2 linked regions of the Schizosaccharomyces pombe genome follow. The protein of the gene in region 2 binds, or shares a complex with, the protein of the main gene of each other region. Each region holds a gene or a part of one and is shown on either strand. Other genes may lie near its edges. A codon is read from its position in the direction of its gene.

Region 1 (6,674 bases), on a different chromosome or scaffold from region 2:
AAGGCCTCCGTAATGCCATAGACGACTCCATTGGGACGAAGGAACTTTAGAAGAGGAAAGTATAACCGGAGACTTATTCTCAGTAGAGTAGCTTTCTTCAATAGAGGATTCAAAGTCTGCTGTAAAATTGGCATTCGTTGCAGGGTGTGATTTTGTTACGTCTTTAATACTAGAATCAATCGCTGAAGGTTTAGCAGGACTTATTTCATCTTTTTTATTTGGTAAAATCGGTTGCGAAATAGGATTTTTTATTTCTTTAGAAGATTGCTCCTGCAAATGTTTGACACCGGAGGCATCTTTCTGAACATCTAAAGAATTTCCCAAAAGCGTTCGTTTCGTATCTTTAGAAGATAACCCCAATTCTTTTATTTGGGAAGCATGTTTGACTTTACCGTTTCTGTATTTCTCCAATAATTGAACGTGCAGGTCACTTGTGGACCTTTTCGAACTGGTTATTTTCGATGCATCATACAGTTGTTTTGCTGTAATTGACGAAGCTTCAGCCTTTAAATATGATTTGGCAACATTTCGAACTGCGGATCCTATTGTTATAAGTTCCCAAAGCCCTGAATTAGCCATTTGTTCTGATTAAATAAGAGAAAAATAAGCCTTGGAATAAAAAGTGCTTCAATTTCGAATGGAAGGGCTTTCAAGTGAATTTATTTATTTCAAAAACCAGACATTTGATTATTTTCATTAACTAGCCACTGTTATAATGGTTTTATGAATCCAAAAATGATAAAAGTTTATGATGGTTCCTAGCGGCGGTTACTTCAGTTAAGCAATCGAACCATATGTATGTACTTGAAGGGACGCGTGTACAGTAAATTAAGGACAATCAATAATTTTTTATATTTACTTTACATACAATAACTATATAAATAAAAGACATAAGATGTTTGTTCAGAGAGATTCACGCCAGTTGGATTAAACCATAATTAAGAAAATAATTGTTGAGATCACGCTTGTAACGTACAAAGACGGATCATTCTATTTTTATATTTTTACGTTGCACAATAGACCCTTCGATTAGCAAGGATGGAGTAGGGACACTTTTGCTGACAGGTAAAATAAAAGAACCATGACGACCAACCCGGGCATAATTTGAATCAAAATCGTACCCAGTATTATCATTTTTACCTTTACTATCGTACAAACCCGCAAATGATTTATAAACATTCCTCTTAGCTAAAGCAGCTATAATTTTATCTTTAGACTGATTGCTTTGGGTTAGTCTGGAAAGTAAAGATGAGTTAAAACCAGGTGGAGGAACCGGATACCAATTCGCAGGAGCAGGTTTAGCTATCGGTGTACAAGTTTCCATAAAACATTCTACTTCACCAGACTTCTGTGTGTAAGCATTTCTTGTACGACGTGCTTCTTCTTTGACATTGCCATTTCGAATTTTAATGAAAGACTCTGGTGTGAACTTGAAAGGTAAATGTGAATGCTGCAAATGTTTGAACATATCTTCATAATTAGAAAAGCACTTTTTACAGTTAGAAACTTCACAATTAAGCCGGATGTTGTTCAAATGGCCGCGCAAATGCATTTCAAACTCTTCTGATGGCAAAACCATATCACACGAAGCCCATAGGCATTTAACCACAGAACAACTTTTCGGATGATGTAACAATAAAACGTGTTTTATAAAATTTTCCAACGAATGAAGATTGGCTAAACAACCCTCCCATTGACAACGGTATTCAGCATAACCTTTACTCAACATGTTAAAGGCTTTAAGTACTTTCTCCTCAAAGGGGTCAATTAACACAAGCGGTTTACAAGCCTTTTTACTAAGCACTGCTTCGTTCCCTGCTTGACTAAGGCTCACGTCAGCAACGCTCGTAGAAATATTCTCACGCAAATTCAAAGACTCGGAGTCAACGACATTGCTTTGATCGCTTTGAGCACCAGCATTAGTAGGTACTTCAACGGGCATTGATTTAGGAAGCTCAGTTGTAATATGAATTGAGGAAATCACATTTTTATCTCCACCGTCCTCTTTAATTTTGTCGGCAAATGGAATATTAGAACTTCTAAAATCTTTATCAATGGTATCAAAAGATCTTTTTGCTGGGATTTTAATTGAACCAGTATCATGGAAAGGTTGTTTTGAGGACGTCGATTCAATTCCAAAATACTCTTTGCGCTTAACAGTTGAAATATCCTTGGTTAAGTTGATCGACTCACAACTTGATAGTTTCCCAGAAATTAGTGGCTTCAATGCGCTTCTGCTTTGTTCTTCGCCAGAATTGTTTTTAGATACATCATTGCCAGATATCAGTTTGTCAAAATCATTAGTACCAGAATCTTTAGCCTGTTTTGTTGAAGACGCATCTTCTTTAAGAGTCTGAAGATTGCTGTCCTTTGAAGTAAAGTAATCTTTACGAGTTGAATCGATAGGAGAAATCTCGTTGTCACTATGAAGAAGAGATGAAACGCTAATGTGAGTAGAAAAACTATCCTTCGTCAATGCTTTAGAATTTGGTGCAGCATGAACAAAAGGAGACTTATCGGGTACAGCCATTCGATTGCTAGAAGCATCCCCATCGCTACTAATACTGGAGAGCTTAGAGTTAGATGGTTTAGGAAGCGAACAGTCCGTATTGTCACTTATTACATTATTTTGATCCACAGAAAACTGCTTTTTAGGAACCAATCCCGGACGTATGGTTTTTATTTCTGCAAGACAAACCTGAGATTCTGCAGAAGGACTTAAAAATGTGCTAGTCAATAATTCTTTTTCATTCGAATTTTCTATTTCACGTCCAAAAGCTCTCTTTGTAACGTCCAGCTTCTCAGGAGGTTTTTCCTGATCAGAATTATATATTCCATCGGCGGAAGCTGCTATGTTTGATACGTCAGCTGTTTGAGCTTGAGTTTCAGAATTATTATGAGATGTCGGAATTCCCTCAGGCAATAATTCCTTTTCATTTCTAGGCCCACTTGTCAAACCAGACGACTTAAAACTAGAATTCGTTTTCAAGACATTGTTAGTTGTGTCAATGTAGGAAGAAGTTGATGACGGTTTCACCAAAGTAGTTTCCGAGCTAACAGATTTTTGTTGTATTGGTTCCTTTTTGCTTTTAATCAAATAATTATCCTTATCAGTATTAAGTTTACTAATGGTGTCGACAGTTGAAGAGGAATACACTTCCGACGCCAGAGATTTAGTAACTCCTAACGAAGAGCTTGATTGAGCAGAGATTTCCGAGTGTTTATTTCTCGTAGGATAGCATACACGTCCGTTAACTGCAACACCATTTTGTTCACGAAGTTGAATGACTTTATCAGGAGATAAGTCTAGCTGTTTTATAGCTTTTTCAAGAGTTTGGCGGTTGTAAGCAATCTCTTCATTAAACCGCCTATGTTTCAAAAAAGAGCCATCCGGTCGCAGGTTAGTAATTGGCAATGAAGGGAACTTCGAGGACACTAACGAAAGATTATTCCAATCGGCCAGGTTACGCAAATCGCCTTTGAATTGTTTTTTCAATTGACCTTTATTTAGTTCGTTTTGCATTAGCTTTAGCTCCAATGATAAATTAAGTCTCGGTCTATCAGGTTTTGATCGAGAGAAAGACGCTGTAGAGTATAGGATTGAGGATGCAATATTATCAGGTGTTAAAAACGGAGAAACAGATGGACACACCTTTTCAGAGTTTAAATTATCAAAAAATGTTTTCTTAACAGTAGAGTTAAGCCCCTCTTTAAGCACTGCTGAAGAGCCTTGGAAACGCAGTCCTTCAAAAGGGTTTGCATGAGCTGCATTTTTTAAGGTTGAAGGGTTTCGCATACTTCCAAGATTATAAGAAGACGTATTACGGGAACTTGTGATATCTTTTTTTGAAGGTGAGCGGTCATAAAGAGATGCTGACGCGTTAACTTTATCGGAAGTTGTTTGCACCATACCATGCCCTGGCTGTTGGCTTCCCGAGGAAATAAGCTTTTCTGAACCATACACATCTAAAGAAGATATATTGGACTTAGTTATAGAAGACGGAATAGAAGAATGATTAGAGTTGACTGAGGAAGCAGTTTTCTTTGAATTATTTTTGACATTTGGAGATACGTGTTTAACCGGGCTAGACTTATTAGATGGGAGATTAGAAAAAGGACGAAATTGATGCTGATAAAATGTTTTTTGTTCGCAAACCAATCCAGGATTTTGTGATGAACTCTGAAAGTCGAATGGTTTAATACCAGCATATTTAGAATTTGATAAAATTGAAGTGTTAGGTTCTGTATTTACCGAAGAATTGGGTTTGAAATTACCATGAGATACATTGGAGACTTGTTGTTGTGTATTTGTTGAAGCCCGTTGATAAACTTCAGATTGAGCTTCCTGTTGCACCTGTAGCTTTGGGCGACCCAAAGTAGTTATCCGAGCTACTAATGTCTGTGAGTACGATTCGAATGGAGGGGGATTAATGAAGAACCCAGTTTTTACAATTTCCTCATACAATTGAACAATTGTAGATATATCGTTGACTGGACCCTCCCTGACTCGTAAAGCCATCAACCATGGACGCAAAATATCATACGTCGACAATAAATATGATAAAGCGCCAGGTGGAATAAGTGAATGAACCAGAGTTTTCACATTGAATGGAGCAGCATGATAAAAGCAGAAAAAATATAGGAGTCTGAGTTGTTGCAATTCTGTCAATGTCTCTGAAGAACTGATATCAGGTTCCGCCATATCTAACAACGAATTGCATGCAGTTGTGTCTTTAAATGTGACAAAAAGTATTTATTACCATTAATTAAATTCCAAAAGGTGGAATTCCTTGGGACCAGCCCTTCGAATTACTGTTCGCACTATTTATTGTGGTGCTGCTGCTATTGATGAAGTGAACTACGACGGGAAGGAAAGAATAGCCGGGGATGCACACTAAGATATCAAAAAACGGGGAAATTTGTTACAACAAAGAATAACATTAAATAAAAAAGAACTAATAATAAGTCTTGACAATGGTCAATCTATGTAATAGAAAGTTATTAACGATAACACAGCGTTGAAAATGAGCTATAATCACTGTACCCACAATGGATGTGCATTATGTTGTACTGTTTTCTTTCTTTTTCTTTTTAGATTTGATCGATTCTTTGTGAAAATTATTGATAATCTCATATAATCCTTCATTTCTTCGACAACATAAAAGCACATCCTGTGGTTGAACCGTTTTCCGTCCTGCATGTCTATTATTTTGTTAATAAGATTAAAATATTTATTTCCATCAAGAGCGTACTCTGCAAAAGCCTCAATGTCTTTAGCTAATACACGTATTTGTTCCCAAACCATTTCGGTAACTCCAACACAAAAAAGCTCATCTACAATGACATTTCTTGACTCTGATTCAGTTAATTCAGAAGCTGTACGATTACAAACTTCTTGTGTAACGTGAAAAATCTCTGCTTTGAATCTCTCCTAGAATACCAGTTAGCCAATACCTATATTAAAATGCATTATTACCTCCTCCATCATATAACTTTGATTACTTTTTATTAATTTTCGTAATAATACGTTACTAAAAGTTAAGATAAGTAGTCTCCTTATAATTAAATGGCTAAAACATGAAATAGGTGGTTTCCAAGTTTCTTCGTAGTTTGAAACATTGTTTTATTAATCTAAACTAAAATATTATTTTCGTGGGGAGCTAACCGTGCTAAATACCAAAGAGTAGGCCAAAACCAATCAGTTGGAAAGTATTTATTAATCTTAATAAAACCTTGTGCCTAAATAAAAATTTTCTCAGAAAAAAGTCCATGGTGCAAACACAATTCTTGGTAAGTTGAAAATTCTGTTGAGGATGCTAAAGCTTTTTTTCAATCAAAAAAAATTTTTTTTAAAATAAGTACCAAAGTTCCGTATGGCAATAAAACATCTTCCTAAGATTTTAATTGCCAGGAAAAACAAAGCAGAAGTTAACCATTGCGACCTTAAAAGAAGAGTTTCTATAAAAATTGTTATGATCCGTAAAAGTCTTTCCAAAATGGGATACTAATCCGAAAGATCTATGGTTTAGGAAATCCAGGATCAGCGTTCGTCAAATCGAGACACTCACTGGGGAAATTAATGGTGAGTATGTACGCTGACAGCATGGCATTTCCAAAAAATTGGCCTAGTACCAAAGAAAATCTCACCTTGGTTTTGTCCACCTCATACATGAATGATTCCGGGAAACAGTTGAAAAAGATATCTAATGATTTTGTGCGCAAAGTTTCGCCATTAGACAAAATCGTATATGTAGTTGTGCATGACGAATTGGAGTTAGATTTAGGCAAAGTCAAGCTTCGTTTGCCCGGAGGCTCTCACAGGTAAGTAATATCCAAAGCAATACTTATTAACATTGCTAGGGGACACAATGGGATTCGCTCTTGTCAAGAATTCCTAGGAAAAGAAGTAAGGTACACATTTAATTTCATTACTAATTCAAAGAGTTTTTACAGGATTGGATTGGGAATTGGACGTTGTGAGTCAAGGAATAGGGAGGACGTTTCAGATTATGTTTTGAGTAAATTCAACTCTAATGAAATGAAACTAATTGAAACTGATATATTCCATAAGTTTTGCAACATTCTTCAACAATTACAACTTTCAATTGAAACATAGGGACTAAGTTAAGCTTAACTCATTGCGGGTTGTTCCTTGTAAAATTGATTGTTGATTA
Region 2 (4,913 bases):
TTTCGTAAAGGAAAGCGCCGTGGCTACGATGCTGCTTATACCATTTGCTCCAAGGTGCTGGAACAAATCCAAGTAAAGCGCCTTGGTATTGAAAATTTGCATGTTATATTTCATGGTTTTAGTCAGGCCAGGGAAGCAGTACAAAATTGTTTATTAGGGCAAGAAGGTGCCGTAATTCGAGACAAAATTGTAAAGGTTATGGATCGAACACCTATTAAATTTGGAGGACCGAGAGGTAGAAGGGAGCGACGCATATGAAGTATGTTTATATTACTTTTCTGTTTTCTTCGTTTACGTAATCTTCCTGTGCAGTTAATCTGCTGCCCAACATTGTTGGTGCTTTTCCACCGTTGTATTTGACCTTCTGAACTTAGAAATGATTTATTAATACCGGTGTGATAGTGCAACATGATTTCTTAAAAAAAACTATATCCCATCTCTAATTCAACACAAATAGTTTTTACCTATCTTTCTCTGTAATTTATGAAATGCAAAAGACATTATTATTCCCATATTATTTACATTATAAATAATGACCGTCACTGATCAATAAGTAGACACTTCTATATCTAATTTTATCTGCCATACTTATTACATTACAACTGCTGACACCATATCAATTTCAGACAGTAAATATTCATAAAAATCGTCATCGACCCAATTTTCAGAGCCTACTGCTGATAATCGACTGGATGTGCGTTCTTTCACTTCTGAAGTGTAATTTAAATCTCCTTTTACGAACCAAGGCTCATACCATCTTCCCAAAACATCTGCGAATGGGCAGACGTACTCGACAGATTTATCATGCAGGCAACGAAAATATGTGTTTGATAGTTTTGATACCATTTGTAATCTTCTTGGTAATTCTTTTAAGTCATCCTTATGTTCATCAATATTGTCAGCGCTGTCATTATAATCGAGTGCATTTTTGTCAATTTGTGTCCATAGTGAGCCTTGGAAACAGACAATGTCATCTTCGTTTACATAAATATCAGATATGTACATAAAACTTGTTTTTTGAAGTACAGATGGCAGTGAAGATGTGGATATAACACATAAATCATTAATCCATAGTTTTTCGGCTCCACGGAAAATTCCGTAAAAATGATCATCTAAACTATTTGATTCACCCCCAAAGGTTGGTAAAACTGTGAGAGGGATGGAATAATTTTCGTCGTGGAACTTTGGTTCTTCCATATCTATACCTTCTAGTGGCTGGAAGATACCAAATAGGTTCCACGTTTGACATATAGAATGAGCAACTAGATGTTCTTGTTTTTGTAAATCGAGTGGATGCCGGGACCAAGGCTCAATATCTGCAGCTGCCATGTCAAAGTAATAACGAGAGTTGCCTAATTGTTTGCAATGGTATTGATATGGTTCCACAAAAGTATCAGATATTAATTTGACAGCATCCATCTGGTTACTTTCATAGTTTATTAAGTTCCGAGCCACTATAATTGCTGGAATGAGCTCATTATTTATGTCAATCCATACCACTTCGCCAAGGCGATACGAAGAAGGCCAGGTGTATGTATCATCCTTACATTCATGGAACATCCGTTCATTTTCTTTTTGGAGATTTTTGCGTACACGCGTCATATTACCAGAACACAGAACGCAACAGCAGGTAGACTCGTTACGGGTCAAATCTGATATAAGCCAATACAAATGATGAAGGAAATCATTAACTGATCGAAATGGTCGACCACTGGGATGGCCATAAAGCCAAAATTCACGTTTACCATTGCCATTTTCACGGTTTGAATCACGCTGATATAGCTGGTAATTGGTGGGTAAAGAGGCAAGATAATAATTTTCAAAACTGTCGGTAAGGTATATTTGTGAAGAATATTTAGGTTGTTTTTCCAAGGTGTCCTTGGAAGATTTTGGATTTGGTCGAACATGTCTAGCAGAGACCACATTTTTTTCGGGGGCTGTAACAACAGTGGACGCATTGGTATTATTGGGATTACCGGTGGACAATCTTTTACAAAGTTGGTTGAGAATAGGTTGGGTTGAGCCGGCACCACCGAAAACATGCTGGGCAAGTAAACGACCGCATATCTGGCGGTAAAGTAAATTTTTACTGTCTTGATGTGGTAGTGGCTTTAACGAAGGGACGGATCTTGTTCTGCTATGACCATTTACATTAGGCCATGTATCAGAGCGCCCATCGGACCAAACACAAGTAATAGCAGGCATTAGCTACTAAAAATGACAATAGCTGAAGTTATAACGGAACAAAAGAAGTATGCAAATTATTTTGTGTAGCGGAAAATTGACGCAAAGAGTTAAAAAGAACAGAAAACGAAGCAAATATTTTTTCGGATCTCGTGAAACGAGGATATTGCGATATTTTATGAATGTGTGCAAAAAGCGATTTGAACGTAAGCAAAACTTTGTTTTTTCGAACCAATCAAACAACTCAACTTGATATGTCCTGGATGTACAAAAACCACAGATGAAAATAAACTGGCTCAAGGGGCGAAAGAAAATAAATATTTAGGTTATTGTTGTTTATTTTTTTGCCAATATCGTTTAGAAAAAATCTAAAGAGAATACGACAATTCTGTGTTCGTTGTAAAGAAGTCCGACAATAGCGAAACGAGATGACTCCAAGGCCATGGAGAGACAAATTATTAGTATCTTCAGTATAATTTGGGGTTGAAACGAATAGCAATCGAAAAACTTCACTCTTTTCAGGCTAGATGTCCCAAGGAAGATTACTGAAAAACACCCTCCTACGCTTGTAGATGAAGGGAAATAGCGACAGGTATTTTCTTTAGAACAATTAATAACGTCTCGAGTTCGATCAAGCAACAGCTTACAGTTGAGTAGCAATGAACCAGCGAAAAGAAAGAAATCACCAAAATGCGCTTATAAGATACGTTATATTTTAAAAGATAAATGAGGTATAAAAGCAAAGCGACTTCCAGTTTTCGTGGATGAAGAAGAGCAATGCTTAATGGCGTTGCGTCTGTTTATAGCTAATTCATGAAGTTAATCCTGGCGATCCCATTGAGCAATGAGGAACACGTTACTCGTTCCACTGACCACTTGTTAAGAAGAATCACTCTACAAATATACGAGAGCAGTGAGCGGCAGACTGATATTCCAATGGAAGAAAAAAGAGTTAAAAAAACTTAGAAAATGTTGGAGTGTATGGAATCAAAATACGTCGATAATATGAAGGATATGTGAACGAACCACCACTCCCAGAAAAATTTGAGTAATCGACGTAAACTATATTTTAGTTGTTTGGTTCAGTTAGCAAAAACAAATTTCAATAAATTGAAATATTTGCCAATAAAATACTTGGATTATATGTTAGATTAGCCAGAATATGGATTTTTCTCAGACGAATTTTCAACGATATAACTAAATTAGTATCGTTATATAATATAAAGCTATAATATTAATTTTATAAAGAATATAGCAAATGTCTTACAACGAACAACTTTTTTAACATGACTTTTTACAAGTGAATTAAAAGAGTTAATAGTTTATAAAAATATCAACTCTTTTTATCGAAGTCTTGGATGGACATGGAAACATGACTTCGTCAGTAGTATAAATTGAAAAAAAAAAATTATATATATATATATATCAATCATATATCGGTATAACGATTTTTTAGAATAAGTTAGGTGATTAGAACTTTCAATCGGAAATTTGAAGCATTAAAGACTTAGAAACAGTATTTGTGATTTTACATACAAATTTGAATTACGATAGTTCAAAAAAGGTTATTTTGAAATGTTCCCAAGTTTGAAACAAAAAAAATGAAACGCAAATAATTTGTTGGAATGCTTTGATATGTTCTCATACAGTAAAGTAAATGAAATTTTAAAAATAGTCTTGTTACAATATCTACAATATATTTCATCAGATTCTACGAATCCTAAAGAAAGTATTTCTAGCATAAACATTTAGCTTTGTATACATCAGCATCTGCTTCGACATCTGATAGATCATTGTTTCAATCATAAATGTAATGTTTATAATTTTATTTGCTAACTAATAAAAAAAAGAAATAATGATTTGAAATCAACAGATATGGGTATGATTAAAATATAAAAACTCGTGTCTCAATTTTTATCTACAAATACTTTACGTTACTAGTTTTGACAGATCTAAAAGAATATAAAAAGTAATTTATAAAAGCATTTTATACGATCTTTAAAATTTGTGAGTCAATTGGGCTGCTTAAAATACAACACAAATCAATTTTTAATATTTACGATACGTAAAGTTTTTGCAAATAAAACATCGAACAATTAAATAAATAGTTATTATCACTGCTTAAATATTACCAATCCTTTATTACTATGTGAAAAAAACTGTACTAAACCATGATTAGATATAAATTATAAATCGCTAGATACTGACAGTTAGATTATTTCTTCAAATAAAAATTTTCTTTTTTATTTTTATTCCTATTCCAAATAGTAACTAGAATGACGATCAATATCCAAAATTGTATTATTTATTAATTACCATTATTTTTTATTTTATTGTTTTTACACAGAAAACTAGTCATCTGTATTATGTAACGTTCCTTTTTCTATTTTATTTTTTAAATTTAGGTTATTAATTTCTCTTTTGTTTTCCAGGCACCAACAAATAAGCAAACGTATATTGCAATGAATGAGTTTACAAGTCAAGTGTGGGTATTGCATTTTTCTCATCGTTTTAAGCATAATCCCGTTAGTTTTTCCAACAGTGAAATTTTTTTCCATACACTCTTTTAACATTTAGTAGTTTTTGACGAAACTGGCGATTCCCACAAAGTTTACTAATCGCTGATCGCTAAAAAAAATCCACAAGGTTTCATTAGTGATCTTTTGAATTCATCCGAGATGCTCCCTACGATTTCTGTTATTTTTGCAAGCACATTCGAAACGAGCAAT

What was found.
Region 1: the proteins of clr2 (region 2) and clr1 are in contact, whole or in part, in a crystal structure (PDB 5IKJ), measured with the Schizosaccharomyces pombe proteins. Residues at the interface, in NP_594802.1 of Schizosaccharomyces pombe: Met1 (codon at 2,205), Pro2 (codon at 2,202), Ala3 (codon at 2,199), Ile4 (codon at 2,196), Thr5 (codon at 2,193), Cys6 (codon at 2,190), Val7 (codon at 2,187), Trp8 (codon at 2,184), Leu52 (codon at 2,052), Val56 (codon at 2,040), Phe57 (codon at 2,037), Gly61 (codon at 2,025), Thr63 (codon at 2,019), Ile122 (codon at 1,842), Leu124 (codon at 1,836), Tyr131 (codon at 1,815), Leu182 (codon at 1,662), Ile183 (codon at 1,659), Ser184 (codon at 1,656), Asp185 (codon at 1,653), Leu186 (codon at 1,650), Lys211 (codon at 1,575), Glu212 (codon at 1,572), Arg215 (codon at 1,563), Met216 (codon at 1,560), Phe217 (codon at 1,557), Glu219 (codon at 1,551), Cys220 (codon at 1,548), Lys221 (codon at 1,545), Thr224 (codon at 1,536); in NP_596236.1 of Schizosaccharomyces pombe: Lys1164 (codon at 1,213), Ile1167 (codon at 1,204), Ala1170 (codon at 1,195), Leu1171 (codon at 1,192), Lys1173 (codon at 1,186), Arg1174 (codon at 1,183), Asn1175 (codon at 1,180), Val1176 (codon at 1,177), Tyr1177 (codon at 1,174), Lys1178 (codon at 1,171), Ser1179 (codon at 1,168), Phe1180 (codon at 1,165), Ala1181 (codon at 1,162), Gly1182 (codon at 1,159), Leu1183 (codon at 1,156), Tyr1184 (codon at 1,153), Asp1185 (codon at 1,150), Asn1200 (codon at 1,105), Tyr1201 (codon at 1,102), Ala1202 (codon at 1,099), Arg1203 (codon at 1,096), Val1204 (codon at 1,093), Gly1205 (codon at 1,090), Arg1206 (codon at 1,087), His1207 (codon at 1,084), Gly1208 (codon at 1,081), Ser1209 (codon at 1,078), Phe1210 (codon at 1,075), Ile1211 (codon at 1,072), Leu1212 (codon at 1,069).

The regions. Positions count from the first base shown.
Region 1 is NC_003423.3:2,995,266-3,001,939, reverse strand, and holds clr1 (SHREC complex intermodule linker subunit Clr1), read right to left. Parts: upstream 4,850-6,674; 5' UTR 4,703-4,849; coding exon 986-4,702; 3' UTR 804-985; downstream 1-803. Other genes in the region: ABC1 kinase family ubiquinone biosynthesis ATPase Coq8, read right to left, coding at 1-579; protein mhf1, read right to left, coding at 5,061-5,202, 5,253-5,431, 5,477-5,488; peptidyl-tRNA hydrolase Pth1, read left to right, coding at 5,874-5,969, 6,017-6,321, 6,361-6,406, 6,443-6,616. UniProt on the Schizosaccharomyces pombe protein: Regulates silencing of the mat2 and mat3 loci. Organizes the chromatin structure of the mating-type region where it also participates in establishing the 'cold spot' for recombination.
Region 2 is NC_003424.3:4,962,568-4,967,480, reverse strand, and holds clr2 (SHREC complex subunit Clr2), read right to left. Parts: upstream 2,989-4,913; 5' UTR 2,206-2,988; coding exon 592-2,205; 3' UTR 501-591; downstream 1-500. Other genes in the region: mrps18 (putative mitochondrial ribosomal protein subunit S18), read left to right, coding at 1-258. UniProt on the Schizosaccharomyces pombe protein: Required for deacetylation in the mating-type region and the centromere. Acts upstream of the histone deacetylases to promote transcriptional silencing.